Lytechinus pictus: one gene and its partner. The protein of the gene in region 2 purifies or fractionates together with the protein of the main gene of each other region. This does not show direct contact. Links are inferred from orthologs where the notes say so. Each region holds a gene or a part of one and is shown on either strand. Other genes may lie near its edges.

Region 1 (7,068 bases), on a different chromosome or scaffold from region 2:
CTCTCGGCTGATGTGATGCAACCACTACAAGCCAGACAGTCATTCAATGTTATCTGAGCCTTCTCCAATTTCCTCGACCCTCCATACTGTATGGTAAAATGACACATCATATGATGGTAGCCTTGCCTAACAGCACATTACATGAACCAATGTTAAAGAATGCCAAAATAAGTCAATGTGTGCTGATTATTCTTAAACATAAACTGCTAATTTATACATTATTTATTTAATGTCTAGACCAATCAAAAACAATTAAAAGAATATCGAAAAATATAGTCAGAATTGTTACAAGCACTAGTTTTGGGTTGTTTAATTTCATGGCTTGTACGCCCTGAAATCAATATGTTCTGAATAAATCTTACGTCATCTAGTTGGAAATAGCTGCCATCGTCTTCAATCCGTATAGCTCCTGGTTTACCCGCCACTTTTTCCACCTTGACTGGTTTTATACATTCCTGGGGATAAAAATACATAAATTTCATAAAAAATCGAGACAGACAGAAATAAGACTTAAAGGGTGTTTGAAGAAAATAATTACAATCAATGGCAAATTTACAATTGATCTAGATCAATTATAACTAGACCTACCGGTATATCAAATCAAGTTGAACTTCCTGTAGCTAAAGCAAACTGAACAGTAAATGAGTGCAAATTTTCAATGAATTTTTATTATTATTGATTTTGGGACCCACAATTGACTTAGGTATACAATAATATTAATAATGATATTAATAGTAACAATAACAATAGTCTAATAATAATACCCGTAATAAAGATTGATTTATTAAGCACATTCTAGAAAAAGCTCTCTCTCTATAAAACAAAGTATTTAAGAATGGAAGTTATGCAAGTTAAGGTCCTCTACGTCTGCACAGTGCCCCTTTTGCGCACACGCGTATCTGTGTGATTCTAGTAAAAAGATACACTACAACCACAAACTTTACAGATGCAATACATAGTCATAGAAAGATATTCCTTAAAAATCTTACTCAAAATGGTGGAAAATAATGAATTTTGTGCATTTTATGTGCCGACCTAAAAAGACAGCCTTTCTCATCAAAATCCCTGAATCGTGTATAAAGTGAATGGGCGCATGCGCAGTCGCAGACATGGGCACAATATCTTTTTTTTTTGTTCGATCTGAAAATGTCTGGCCGTGCTTTTTTCCAACCAAGAAAATCATATATTTCTCTCAAATTTTTGTGAGATTTTTGGCACACTTTTGTGAAAAAAAAATTATCTTAATTTAAAGGAGAATGAAACCCTTGAAACCAGCTGAATCCATATCAAAGTGAAAAATCAAAGAAACATACTGTTGAAAGTTTGAGGAAGATTGAATGAATAATAAGAAAGTTATGAGCATTCGAATATTGAGATCACTAGTGCCATGTAGATCCTCACAACGGCAATGCGACCAAGATCTGTGATATCACACACGTACAACTCCCTTATTACTTTAGTACTTATTTCACTTATATTCTCACTTTTATAGAGTCTATCACAAGGTGAGGTGTTCTCTTTATGATATGACAAGTACAGAGGTTTCACAACATTATATCATTGATGAATCGTTTGTCATATGATTAGAATGAGCAAAAAGAGATGTTTTGGGGTATATTTTCAGTGTCCAAATGGGAGAGTTGTACGTGTGTGACATCACAGATCTTGGTCGCATTGCCAATGGGAGGATCTCCATAGCATTAGTGATCTCGACATTCAAATGCTCATAACTCTTTTATTGCTAGTCCTATTTTACTCAAAGTTTTGTTGATCTTATTCTTTGATTTTTCTGCTTTCACAAAAGCTAACTTGCTCCAAGAGTTTCATTCTCCTTTAAATTGTTAATGTTAGGTGCACAGACATGTTCCCCCCTCTTCATCATGTTACTCATATAGACGTAACTTGTAACAGTTAAGTTTCTTGCAACGCCCCAATTTTTTTTCACAAACTTTGCCTCCCACTGATTGATATCATCCCACAGTTATTACTAAATGCATACGGAAAGACAAAGAAATATCAAAGATCTAAAATAATCTCAAATGTAGACCTCTCAAGCTCACTAAAAGTCCAAACACAAGCTGACACAAGTTATTATGGCAAGTTCCCCCAAGTCTGCGCAGTCTCCCTTGTCTGCGCATACGCGTATCTGCGCAATTCTAGTAAAAGAAGATACGAAACGAACACAAACTTCACACATGCAACACATAGACAAAAATCCGACTCAAAATGGTGGAAAAATAATGAAATTTGGGCATTTCATGTGGCGTCCTCAAAATGCAGCCTTTCTCATCAAAATATCCGAATCGTGTGCAAAGTGAATGGGTGCGCAGACATGGGGTACCACTTTTTTTTACAATTTTAAAATGACTGCCCAAGGTTTTTTTCCAAGAAAATCTCATATTTCTTTCAAATTATCGTGAGATATTTGGTACATTTACTCATGATAATAATGAACATTATTAACAGAAAGATTTTGTGAAATAAAAAGAAATACATGTAAAATCTTGACTCAAATCGTTAGGTGCGCAGACTTGGGGACCACCATTATATACAACTAAAGACAAGTGTCAATCATCTTAATGTCATTGACATTGACATTGTCAATGATCATGTCAATTGAATTGTCATATCTCTCCCTCTCACTCAAAATAATTAAAAAAAGTCTCAAGTCACACTGACAAAGTCAAAGACAAATTTTACCTGCGAAGGAGTGATAAAATCATCAAGATCAGCAAGCTTCAGTGCTCCACTAAAGTGCGCCATGACCAGGATCAGTACGTTTCACACACAAAACAAAACATGCAAAGTCACAGTCAGAGCGTCTCGAGCTCGGCTCTCGCATCTCTCCGTGCAGCAGCTCAAAGCCCTTCGGTATCTGCCTCTTTAGCTCCGCCAGCGGTCCGGCTAGTATGCATATCGAGAATCGGTGAGTTGAAGGGGCGCCGGACTGACATCCGACGAAAAAGAAATGAGGAGGGGTAAGGACGTACGAGGCAGATAGCATTTTCAATCTTGCTCTAAAAATGTTCAATAAACCGTCAAATTTTGGACTTAAAATATTTTTATATAATAATAAATGCTTTTAAAATATTCATTTATAGATAATAGATTGAAATATATTTAAAACTGTGATTTAATGAGTTACGCTGGAATAGATCCTTATAAAGAAAAGGGAATTCCCCCTTTGCAAAATTGATCCACCTCTTGTAGCTAGCTCTTCATCTTTTTGCTTGCATCTCACGGTACTCGGTTAATCCCTTTTCTTTGTTTTCAAAGCTTTGTTTTCAAAACTAACTCTAACTTGTTGGCATGCCAACTTGTTATATTCCGGGTCAAACTCACATCACAGGAACAAGGAAATAAGAGAAGATGCTGCTAATCCTTTGTTAGTCTAGTCTGTGCTTGCTTGTTGAAGTCAGAGGCGCGAGGCCGAAGAAGGAGTGAAGAAAGGCTGAACTGCCTGGCTGGATCATTTGACATTTTGATTAGGATACTTACATGCAGATACTGAGATAGACAATACTGAATTGAACAGGAACAAGGAAGTGACTTACCCATTTATAGCATATACTAGTACCAGTGGTACTGAGCCTGAGGCACATTAATGATTGATACTCATCAACAGCAGTCTATTTCCTTGCAATATATCAAGTGTACTTTCTGTATTGTATTTCATCATAACACAAGTTTGTTCAACTGAACTGAACTTCCAAGTTCAAGATGGTCTACATGTCGGTTGCCGCTCGAAATGAAAAGATGGTGCACCTGGCGAGATCGCCTGGGTTTCGAGCTTGGAGTACATTTTTTGGTGAGTGGATCTAGACAGAATATTTTATTGGAAAACTTGTATACATTCTCAAATTGAGCTTTGCTTTTGATTTTTTAATGAGTATTTTAAAGAGGAGTTATTCTTTTTTTTATTGTTCTTGCTTCTATCATTCTTTGACTGTCTATGATCATTTTTATTATTACTGATCTGGCAATTTCATATAAAAATAAATTGATCATGTTGATGATAAAATTTGAAATATAAGAAGAATATTAGGCATCATACATGCACAGAAAGTGATTTCCAGAGTGCAAAACATGGCTGTCAGAAAAGACAGAGATTAACCTGTTTACTTTAATTAGTTGAGAAACTGTATAACACAAGGAACTATATCAATTTATCTTATATTTTTCAGGTATCCTTGCTATAGGTTGTGGGATGGTAATCTTCTCAAATGATGACTGGCTGTGGAAATCATTCTGTCTCTTCTGCTGTGGATTTGTGGCAATATGCTCTCTAGATGACTGGGAGGTAATTATATCATCAGTTCCCAGGGGACCACCGCAATTACACATGGACACCAACCACGCTGTGGTCAAGAAGTCAATTACTAGATTCCTGGTTCTAAAGTCAATGGTTCAATTCCTGACTGTGGCACCTTGGTTTGAGCAAGGCATTTAGATGCATTGCTCTTTTACTTTAAGTTATTAAATTTCATAATTCAATAACTGGAAATGCCTCAAGCATGATTTCATACCAACATGCACACATTTTTATTTTTTTAATGTTTTCATACACAAAGTCATTAAAGAAGGTTGTTTTCACAGATGAAACATGTACATGTGGACAGTAAAAAAGGGTATCAAAATTGCCAGATCAGGGAAAGGTGTACAAACTAAATGCAAAGGCCATATACTTCACCCTGTCATTAAAAAATATATATGAGGCATCATTTAGGGTGGGGAAAGTTGACAAAATCAAGATCAAGATTACTTGTTTATTTGTTTAGGATTAATTTTGTGAGTCCATGTGTGAGCATGCTGTTCATCTTGTAATGACAGTGCCCTCCCCTGGGAATCACTTTCAAAATATTATATTGCTTCTTTGGCCATTAACTACTTGTAGGACTTCAATGTACAACATGACCAATGGCTGTTAAAATTGATGATTTTGGTTATGTCATTCATTTTTGACAAATTTGGCAAATTAAAGAGTAGCATGAATACAGTACCCAGACCGCCTCAAAAAAAAGAAAAGAAAAGGGAATTCATTTCATTGGGTGCTGCATTCTCTAATCCAAATTTTATGTTCAATAATAAAATGTGTTCATGACATATTTTTACCTTAAATTGGGGATTTGTATGGGTGTCAATTTTTTTTTAGACTTGCACAGTATTTCGGGTTATTTAATGATTTTTTTCATGCAATAACTGTAAATAAAGTCTACTGAAGTTGCATGTACATGAAACTATACTCCTGTGATTAATTTTGTTGTTTTTTACAGGTGCAATAGCGCCACCTGTAGTTTTTTTTTTTGATGAACTGAAATATGAAAGTCCTCATAATTCAGTAATTGAATCTCTTGTGCACATTGATTAGAGAGATAATGAGTTCCATTGAGAAATAACATTATTTAGCTGAAAATGAAAGTGCTCTCTTATTGTAGTCATTAGCAATGTTTTTGCATTTAGCTTGCGTGTTATTTGAGTTACAGGTATCTTGCCTATTGTGTTCAATTATTACCATTCATATATATCTTTCCCCTCTATGTTTATAAATAATTGTTTGGTACTGCAAAATCATAAAATAGCCTTAAAAACTGACATACTAAAGCTTTTCAACATGCACTCATCGGAGTAATGCTAGAGCAAAACAATATGTTATAGAACCAGAAGACACAATGTTTGATAAAAATTAGCCATGCTCATTTTAAATTCCTCTTATTTTCTGATTGAAATTTTCTTTGTATTTTAATTCTTCTTCATCATCAGGAATGCATCATTGAAAAGGATGGTGACATTCTTCTGAAGAGGTTTAGTTTGATTGAGAAGATCCTTAGACCGAAAGAAAATCAGCGGCAAGGTAAGTAATCCAAACAATTCTGGGGTCTGTTTCATAAATTTTTTAATAATAATAACAGTTTAAAGCTACTGAAATCACTCAATTTGATTGGCTGATAGTAAACATCATAGGAATTATGCATACAACTAATCTTTATGAAACAGGACTCTGGGGTTCTGAACCATTTACAAACACCTACATGTATTATGCAATCTGGGACTCGATTTGAAAAATATTGACAATATGGAAAAGAGCAATGCACTTTTAAATAAGATGATATTTTTCTGTCAAATATGTTACTTTCTACATCCCCAAAACATTAAAGTACGTCCTAAGCATCATTTAAGTTTTGTTCAGGATAATTTCTGAAAGATTACAGTGTATGCATATGGGCAATTCCATAGGTTGGTGGACATGAGCTCAATGTGTCTTTGTACATATAGCCCATCTGAACCGTAACGTGAGTAACCACTTTATCTGCACCCCTAGTAAAAACCATGTGTTCTTTATTTTTTGAATTATATACAAATTTGTCTCCCTAATATACTTCTAAATGGATATAATCAACTTTCATAAAAGCCTTGTATGAGGACACTTTTCACTTATGTCCACTTTTCATTTTATGCATGTCCAAATCATGTAACATGAGTAACCCACACATTTCAAAGATTTGCCAGGAGCATAATGAAATTTCCCAAGTTTTGTTTTTATACAAAGGATAGTCAGACTGCGTACTATGTTGTGATAAAGAGATGTTTAGTTCCTATCAATAATAATGGAGTTACAGCTCCAAGTATGAGTCAAGGTGTCTCGAAATGTAACGTGGGTAACCGTGGAATAGCCCATATGCCCATTTTGGACAAACACCTGCTTTCGCAAGAATGGTAATAGAAGCTCAGGTTAATTTCTGAGTCTAATCTTATCAAGAAGCATCAGCAACTTTATGGAGTGTCAGATTTAGAGTTGATAGGAAGGAAAAGAAACACTTGAGGAATGGGGATATAATAATACCAAATATCATGCAATTTTCTGAGAAGCAGAGATGTTAGACATGTTAATTCCATGCATCAGAATGCTTTATAGTTTGGGATAATTTTTTTTCCAGAAAGCTTGTTGCAGAAAAAGTTGTATAGTGTAAAAGCAACTCAGAAATAAAAAAATGCAACTCATCAATCTGCTTTTCTGATTGGATGAAAAACAAGTTCGTTTCATTGCAATTCTTTCTGTTTGCAGGCCCC
Region 2 (6,963 bases):
AAAAACTCCTCGAAACAGACGGCTGCCAGCTGTCTATAGTAAAAAGTTTATAGAGTCTACTGTCACTTCTACTCTGAGTACCAATGTGGTCAAACATAACAGTATTAACCTTATATGCTAAAATAGATACACCAAATTCAGCCCAAAAATGTGGTCCCGATGCCTCCAGCCATTAAAGTATTAAAACTAGACTGAACTTCGCAAATAGCGTTCGTCGCGTGAGGGCGTATGTCACCGCAAAGGATCACGGGAATGAAAAGGGAGCAAACGCGAAATTGGCTTTCGGGAAGCCATACAACGCCATATGTTTTGTGTAGTGTCACTCAAAATCCAGGCTTTTTTAAAAGTTTGATTTCTTAGTATTGAAATTATTTTGGATACTTGAATGTGGATTTATAGAACAATCTTTGTAACATGATTGCACAGCGAAAGTATGAACTCAATGCTCACCGAATTTTCCAAGTTTTCTGGGGCTAAATTTGGGAAGATTTTGTGGGAAAAGTGAGCATGGTGATTGCTGGTCAATGCTATCGACTTTAGAAAAGAGCACGTCGGCGATCCGGAGAGAGCCTGAGGCTATTTTTTTCAATTAAAGAATATTGATGAGAATCATAATGTAGATCATAATAATTATATCTTATCTCCATAACTAGTAGATTTAGCAAGTTTTTGTTATTTTGGAGGAAATATAGTCCTTAAAAATCAGGCTTTTGAGTTTGATCATTACAAGATCTAGTACTAGAGGGGGGGGGGTGAGACTTGAGGATCGAATGGCCGCGAGACCAAATATCAAGTATATTAAAAATAAGCTAGTGAGTATAAATGTATATATATAATATACATATTAAGAAATACATATAAATAGGCCTATGACATGCAGCATAAAGATTAAATAAATCCCTGTATTTAAAACATTTTTGGATGCCGTATAGGCCCTAGTATTCTTCATGGTCTCCCTCTAACCTCTCTGTAATTTTATTTTGTCTGTCTGAAATTAAGCAGCTGATGGATATTTAATTTATATAAATGATGTATATTCCATTGTTTTAATAAAACAAATATTATTTCAAAATTTCCATCTTCATTTAATTTCATCGCATTCAGTCACTAATTACTTCTCTCACATCAGATCACCTTTTTCATTTCATTTTTTTTCTACTTATTTTTCTCTCAACTTTCATCTATTCTCACATTTTTTAAATATTTAATTCATTATTTTGTATTTGCAGTATTATCAAATCTTGGGACCAGGCCACTAATAAAAAAAACGGCCATGATCCTGAATTACATGCAATAATTGTGTATCTGTGGAGAGAAAAAGAAAACACAGCTTGGTTAATATCTGAATAAAATCATGATTGAGATAATTATTCATGAAACATGTATTCTTGACAATCGATTGATATATTACTAAAATATATAACTAGAATAAAGTAATCAAATCTAGTATTGCAGAGATTGTTTTATTGATCATCATTTTATTATTTTCCTTGGAATTCCGGGACTTTCCTCCACTGCCTCGCCGACGTACACTGTCTAGTGAGCTAGTGAGTATAAATGTATATATATAATATACATATTAAGAAATACATATAAATAGACCTATGACATGCAGCATAAAGATTAAATAAATCCCTGTATTTAAAACATTTTTGGATGCCGTATAGGCCCTAGTATTCTTCATGGTCTCCCTCTAACCTCTCTGTAATTTTATTTTGTCTGTCTGAAATTAAGCAGCTGATGGATATTTAATTTATATAAATGATGTATATTCCATTGTTTTAATAAAACAAATATTATTTCAAAATTTCCATCTTCATTTAATTTCATCGCATTCAGTCACTAATTACTTCTCTCACATCAGATCACCTTTTTCATTTCATTTTTTTTCTACTTATTTTTCTCTCAACTTTCATCTATTCTCACATTTTTTAAATATTTAATTCATTATTTTGTATTTGCAGTATTATCAAATCTTGGGACCAGGCCACTAATAAAAAAAACGGCCATGATCCTGAATTACATGCAATAATTGTGTATCTGTGGAGAGAAAAAGAAAACACAGCTTGGTTAATATCTGAATAAAATCATGATTGAGATAATTATTCATGAAACATGTATTCTTGACAATCGATTGATATATTACTAAAATATATAACTAGAATAAAGTAATCAAATCTAGTATTGCAGAGATTGTTTTATTGATCATCATTTTATTATTTTCCTTGGAATTCCGGGACTTTCCTCCACTGCCTCGCCGACGTACACTGTCCCTGAGCTGGGCCGAGAGTGCCCGCATTGGCAGCCGCAGTCCGTGCATACATTACAAGCGCACTTTGCACAGCTCAGAATACGCACAGACACTGAGACAGTGCGCGAAAATTAAATAAAATTGCACTTGTCTTCATAAGATCTGTGGTAATTCTTGCAGCTATAGACAGCACATCCATCTCTGTCACCCATAATTAAGAAGAAAAGTGATGTTAGACTCTGGAACAAATATGACGAGGCGTTTACTGGAAGTTAGCAAAATGTCGAGGTTTATACTAATGCCAACCTCGCAATACGTGTGAGTGGCAAAATGTTGTTGTTGCCTGCAGGCGTCGATCGTATTTTCAATTTTGATACATTAAATGGAAATCGTACACTTTATTGTCGGCTGCTTGCGTTCGCATGGTAGCATCCGGACAATGGCGGCGCTATTGCTCCCTTTTCGATCCCATGATCCTTTGCGTGAATCTATTTGCGATAAGGTCTATCGAAGCACTGCCACTGTTAGTGTTACTTAGTGTGACTCAACATCTAGTATACTGGTATAAAAAAGCCCCAACGTCTTTTTCAATGAATGGGACTAAGATTTAAGAAAAGTATTCGTAGCGGCTATCGATCATTCCCCAATCAAAGTCCAGATATATTAACGTGAGAGTCTTCATAATTACTATAAATTCTAAAATCCCTTACACTTTTCAATTTCTATCCATGACTTTCTCAGTGACAGACTTGAAGAGAGAGGGCGCCATCGCCACCGTCGGACGTAACTTCTGGGAGCTCCGGCCTAAAGTTGTAAATATTCACTTAAATCTTGTCAATCCTGTTATCTTAGTATATTCTGTTGACATACATTCAAATTTAATGATTAATTCTATGCTCTGTTGTATATATTTTTAGTCATGTCTTGCTAAAAAGTAGGAAATAAGGGCCTCCCCTCGACCACTAAAACATCAATAGCAAACCCATGTAGTGTATTGCGTATCGTATTGTAGCGCCTGAAGGTTCTAACGTAGAGGGCGCAGAAAGGAGAAAAATACGAAGAGGAAACGAACGGAAGACAGATAGAAGATCGGGAGAGATACAAGAATTGTAATCCAGATTAATCGGTAAATTGCCCTATATAATCAGTTATTATTGTTCATGATTGGATTGTTGAATACTTACTAAATAAATGTTGTTAATGTGAATGAACGGCATCACAGAAGGATTCTTATTTTAGCGTGAATCAATGGTGTGTGATTGACGTATACGTGAGTTCAGTGAGAGCTACATTGAAGCACACGGAGAAGAAGATTTGGCGAGATTTGAGTGTGGGGAGCGTTACATTGGTGGCAGTCGCGGGATAATTCTAGACGAATTATGGAACCCACAGAACCCACATCAATCTCAGAATCGAGAATACACCCTATTCATGCTAATGAAACTGTCCCTTATGGTTTGGGAACAATTCAACCGGAGGAAGGAGCATCATTTGTCACGGTAGATGAATACCACGTGTCAGACCACGTGCGAAGCTTTCCACAGCACGCAGCCTATGGGGACGCACGACGCGTCGGTAGTAGATTGTATGATGCGTTAATGGTGGAGGACGCTCGCCAGGTGCGTTCGTTGGGCAACGAATATAACGCACGAGGTGTTATGAGCGGACACAGGGAGGAGCAGATTTCAAACAACACGCACACACTGCGTTCGGCGTTGGGCAACAGGAGCTACGACGCACAGAGCGTTATGGACGGACCAAACAAAGAGATTTTTCCTGACACTACGCACGAAGCGTGCGTGTTAAGCAACGAAAACCGCGACGCAGGAAGCGTTGTGATTGGGCATGGTGAGGAGCTGATCTCTGAAAGTACGCACGCGGTGCGTTCGGTCAGCGACGAAGGCCTCAACGCACAAGGCGTTTTGAGAGAACGCAATAGGGCGACGACCCCTGATAACGCACACATGGTGCGTTCGTTGAGCAACGAAAGCCGCAACGCACAATGCGTTTCGAGAGAACACAATAGGGCAACGACCCCTGATAACGCACACACAGTGCGTTCGTTGAGCGACGATGGCTACAACGCACAAGGCGTTCCGAGAGCACGCAGTAGGGCTATGACCCTTGATAACACACACACAGTGCGTTCGTTGAGCAACGAAGGCCGCAACGCGCGAAGCGTTTTGACAGGACGCAATGATGCGTCGATCCCAGGCCCCATGCACAGGGCACATATATTCGACAACGACTATCGCAACGCAAGAAGCGTTAGTAGTTGTCACAATGGTTTGATAGCAGACATTGCACACTCATTGCGATCTCAAGGCAGCGAACGCCCAGACGCACAAGGCGATTGGAACTATCGGGAAGGAGAGGCCCTAGATTCGCATCGCGCACGCATTCTGCGTTCATTTGATCACCTAAACTACGACGCACAGTGTGCAGGAAAAGAAAGGAGACAACCTGAATACTCGGCCATGGATCATGAATACTTGCCTCAGAGGATAGGCAGGCCTATTGTATCTGTGCGCCCACCTGACAGGACAATCAGAAAGCCAGTGTATGAGCCAGGCACATTCACAGGAAAGGAAGTTTTTGAGAGCTATTTAAGTCATTTTGAAATAGCAGCAGATATTAACGCTTGGAACAATCGAGAGAAGGCTGTATTTCTGGCAGCAAGTCTGCGTGGTGGTGCTCAGGAGATTCTAATGGAACTGTCACCATCACAGAGAGTGAATTATGAGTTTCTAGTAGCCGCCTTGACTACCCGTTATGCATCAAGAGGTCAAGCAGAGTTAAACCGTTTGAAGCTCAAGAACAGGAGGCAGGGAGCGGGAGAAACCCTGACAGAATTGGCTCATAGTGTAAAGTGTCTGATCAGGAAGGTATATCCTGTTGCATCTGAGGATACAAGAAGGACACTAGCTAAGGATAGTTTCGTTGATGCTCTGAAGGATGCTGAAGTTCGCTTTGAGGTTATGAAAGCCCAGTGTGAAACAATCGACGATGCACTTGTTGTTGCAGCGAGGATCTCTGAGCTCAAGACTACAGAAGCAATGCGAGTAAACTACAGACAAGTTCGGACTCTGAATGCAGAGACCGAGGAAGAAAAAGAGCCAACTGAACATCAACTGGAGACATTGGTGAAAGAACTGCAGTTGACTGTCACCCAGTTGAGAAAAGACATGGCAGATATGTCCAAGGATAGGTCGAAAGGTTACAGATCCCAATCAAGAACCAAATCCTTCGCAGAAAAAAACAAAGAAGCTACATGCTGGAATTGCGGGAGCGAAGGGCACTTCAAGGCTAATTGTCCTGCAATGACAGAAGGAAACAGCAAGCAACAGGAAAACTAGAACCTACCGACTTTAAGGGTCGAGAGCCGGTAGAAATTCCCAAAAGGCCCAATGGGACAAGAATCGAGGAAGCTCGATATATGCCTGTTAGATCAGCTCGGTCAGGAGATATTGGTCTTTTTGTTGATGTCATGATTGGTGACCACACAGTCCGGATGCTGGTAGATTGCGGTGCTTCAGTTTCTGTCATGAAGACAAGTGTTGCCTCACTCATCGGATGTGATGAGCTCCTTGAGAGAGACATAGGTGTTAAAATGACTACTGCGAGTGATGTGCACAGTATTCCCTTCAAGGGTAAAGGAGAACTGAACATGTGTCTAGGAGGGAAGTTACGTAGGAAACTAGTTTGGTTTGCAGACGTAAAAGAAGATGGAATTCTTGGTCTTGATTGCCTTGAGGACTGGAAATGCAAAGTTGATTTTGGTCGTCGGGAAATGTGGGTAGATGGTGTAAAGGTCCCTTGCCATAGCTTTGAAGGGCCGCCTGCTTGTTGCAGAGTCACTGTGAGTGATACCGTCACCCTACCACCCCTCACTGGACAAGTTATCAAGGGTCAAATGGAAGACAATTTGGCATTCACTGACGTAATCCTGGAACCTTCGTCTAAGTGGACTGGCTCAGGAAGTGTTCTAGTTGATGCGGCAGTGATGAGGCCGGGCGCCAAGACAATACCAGTGAGAGTCATCAATGTAACCAACCAACCTGTCAAGTTTTACAAAGGGACCACCGTTGGTCAATGTCAGAAAGCTGAGGTAGTTACACAGGAAACTGTCTCCGGAGACAACCCTTCTAAGACCGACAAGACTCCGTACATAACTGTTGATGGAATGAAGATACCAGAACATTTGCAAGACACATGGAAACACAGCGCACAACTTATTAACAAGGACGAGAGGGTGAAGTTGAGTAAGCTCCTTTGCAAGCACTCGGAGGTTTTCTCCAGAGGTAAAGATGACCTGGGGAGAACAGATGTAGTGAAGCACCAGATTGAAACGGGGACATTTCCTCCTATTCGACAGAGAGCAAGGAGATTACCTGTCCATCAAAGACATGAAGAATCGGCACAAATTGAAGATATGACAAGACGTGGTGTGATTGAACCGTCTGAAAGCCCGTGGGCTTCACCAATCGTGTTAGTCAAGAAGAAGGACGGTTCTACCCGGTTCTGCGTTGACTTCAGGAAGCTGAATGATGTGACCACCAAAGATGCGTTTCCACTCCCACGTATTGATGATTCATTTGACAGATTGTCTGGATCAAAATGGTTCTCAACTCTCGATCTGCAAAGTGGTTACTGGCAAGTAGAGATGTCAGAACAAGATCGGGAGAAGACTGCATTCATCACAGCGTATGGCC

Evidence for each region. Proteins that work in one complex are often made in the same cells at the same time.
Region 1: the proteins of cytosolic iron-sulfur assembly component 2A-like (region 2) and cytosolic Fe-S cluster assembly factor narfl-like purify together in Homo sapiens (affinity purification with mass spectrometry; 4 studies listed by BioGRID and IntAct, with this or other methods). This does not show direct contact. The link is inferred for Lytechinus pictus from reciprocal best matches to the Homo sapiens genes CIAO2A and CIAO3.

The regions. Positions count from the first base shown.
Region 1 is NC_087254.1:35,013,123-35,020,190, reverse strand, and holds the start of cytosolic Fe-S cluster assembly factor narfl-like, read right to left. Parts: upstream 3,020-7,068; 5' UTR 2,764-3,019; coding exon 2,701-2,763; intron 456-2,700; coding exon 363-455; intron 87-362; coding exon 1-86. Other genes in the region: cytochrome b-245 chaperone 1-like, read left to right, coding at 3,721-3,808, 4,185-4,300, 5,761-5,851.
Region 2 is NC_087249.1:9,756,802-9,763,764, forward strand, and holds the start of cytosolic iron-sulfur assembly component 2A-like, read right to left. Parts: upstream 3,002-6,963; 5' UTR 2,962-3,001; intron 1-2,961. UniProt on the Homo sapiens protein: Component of the cytosolic iron-sulfur protein assembly (CIA) complex, a multiprotein complex that mediates the incorporation of iron-sulfur cluster into extramitochondrial Fe/S proteins.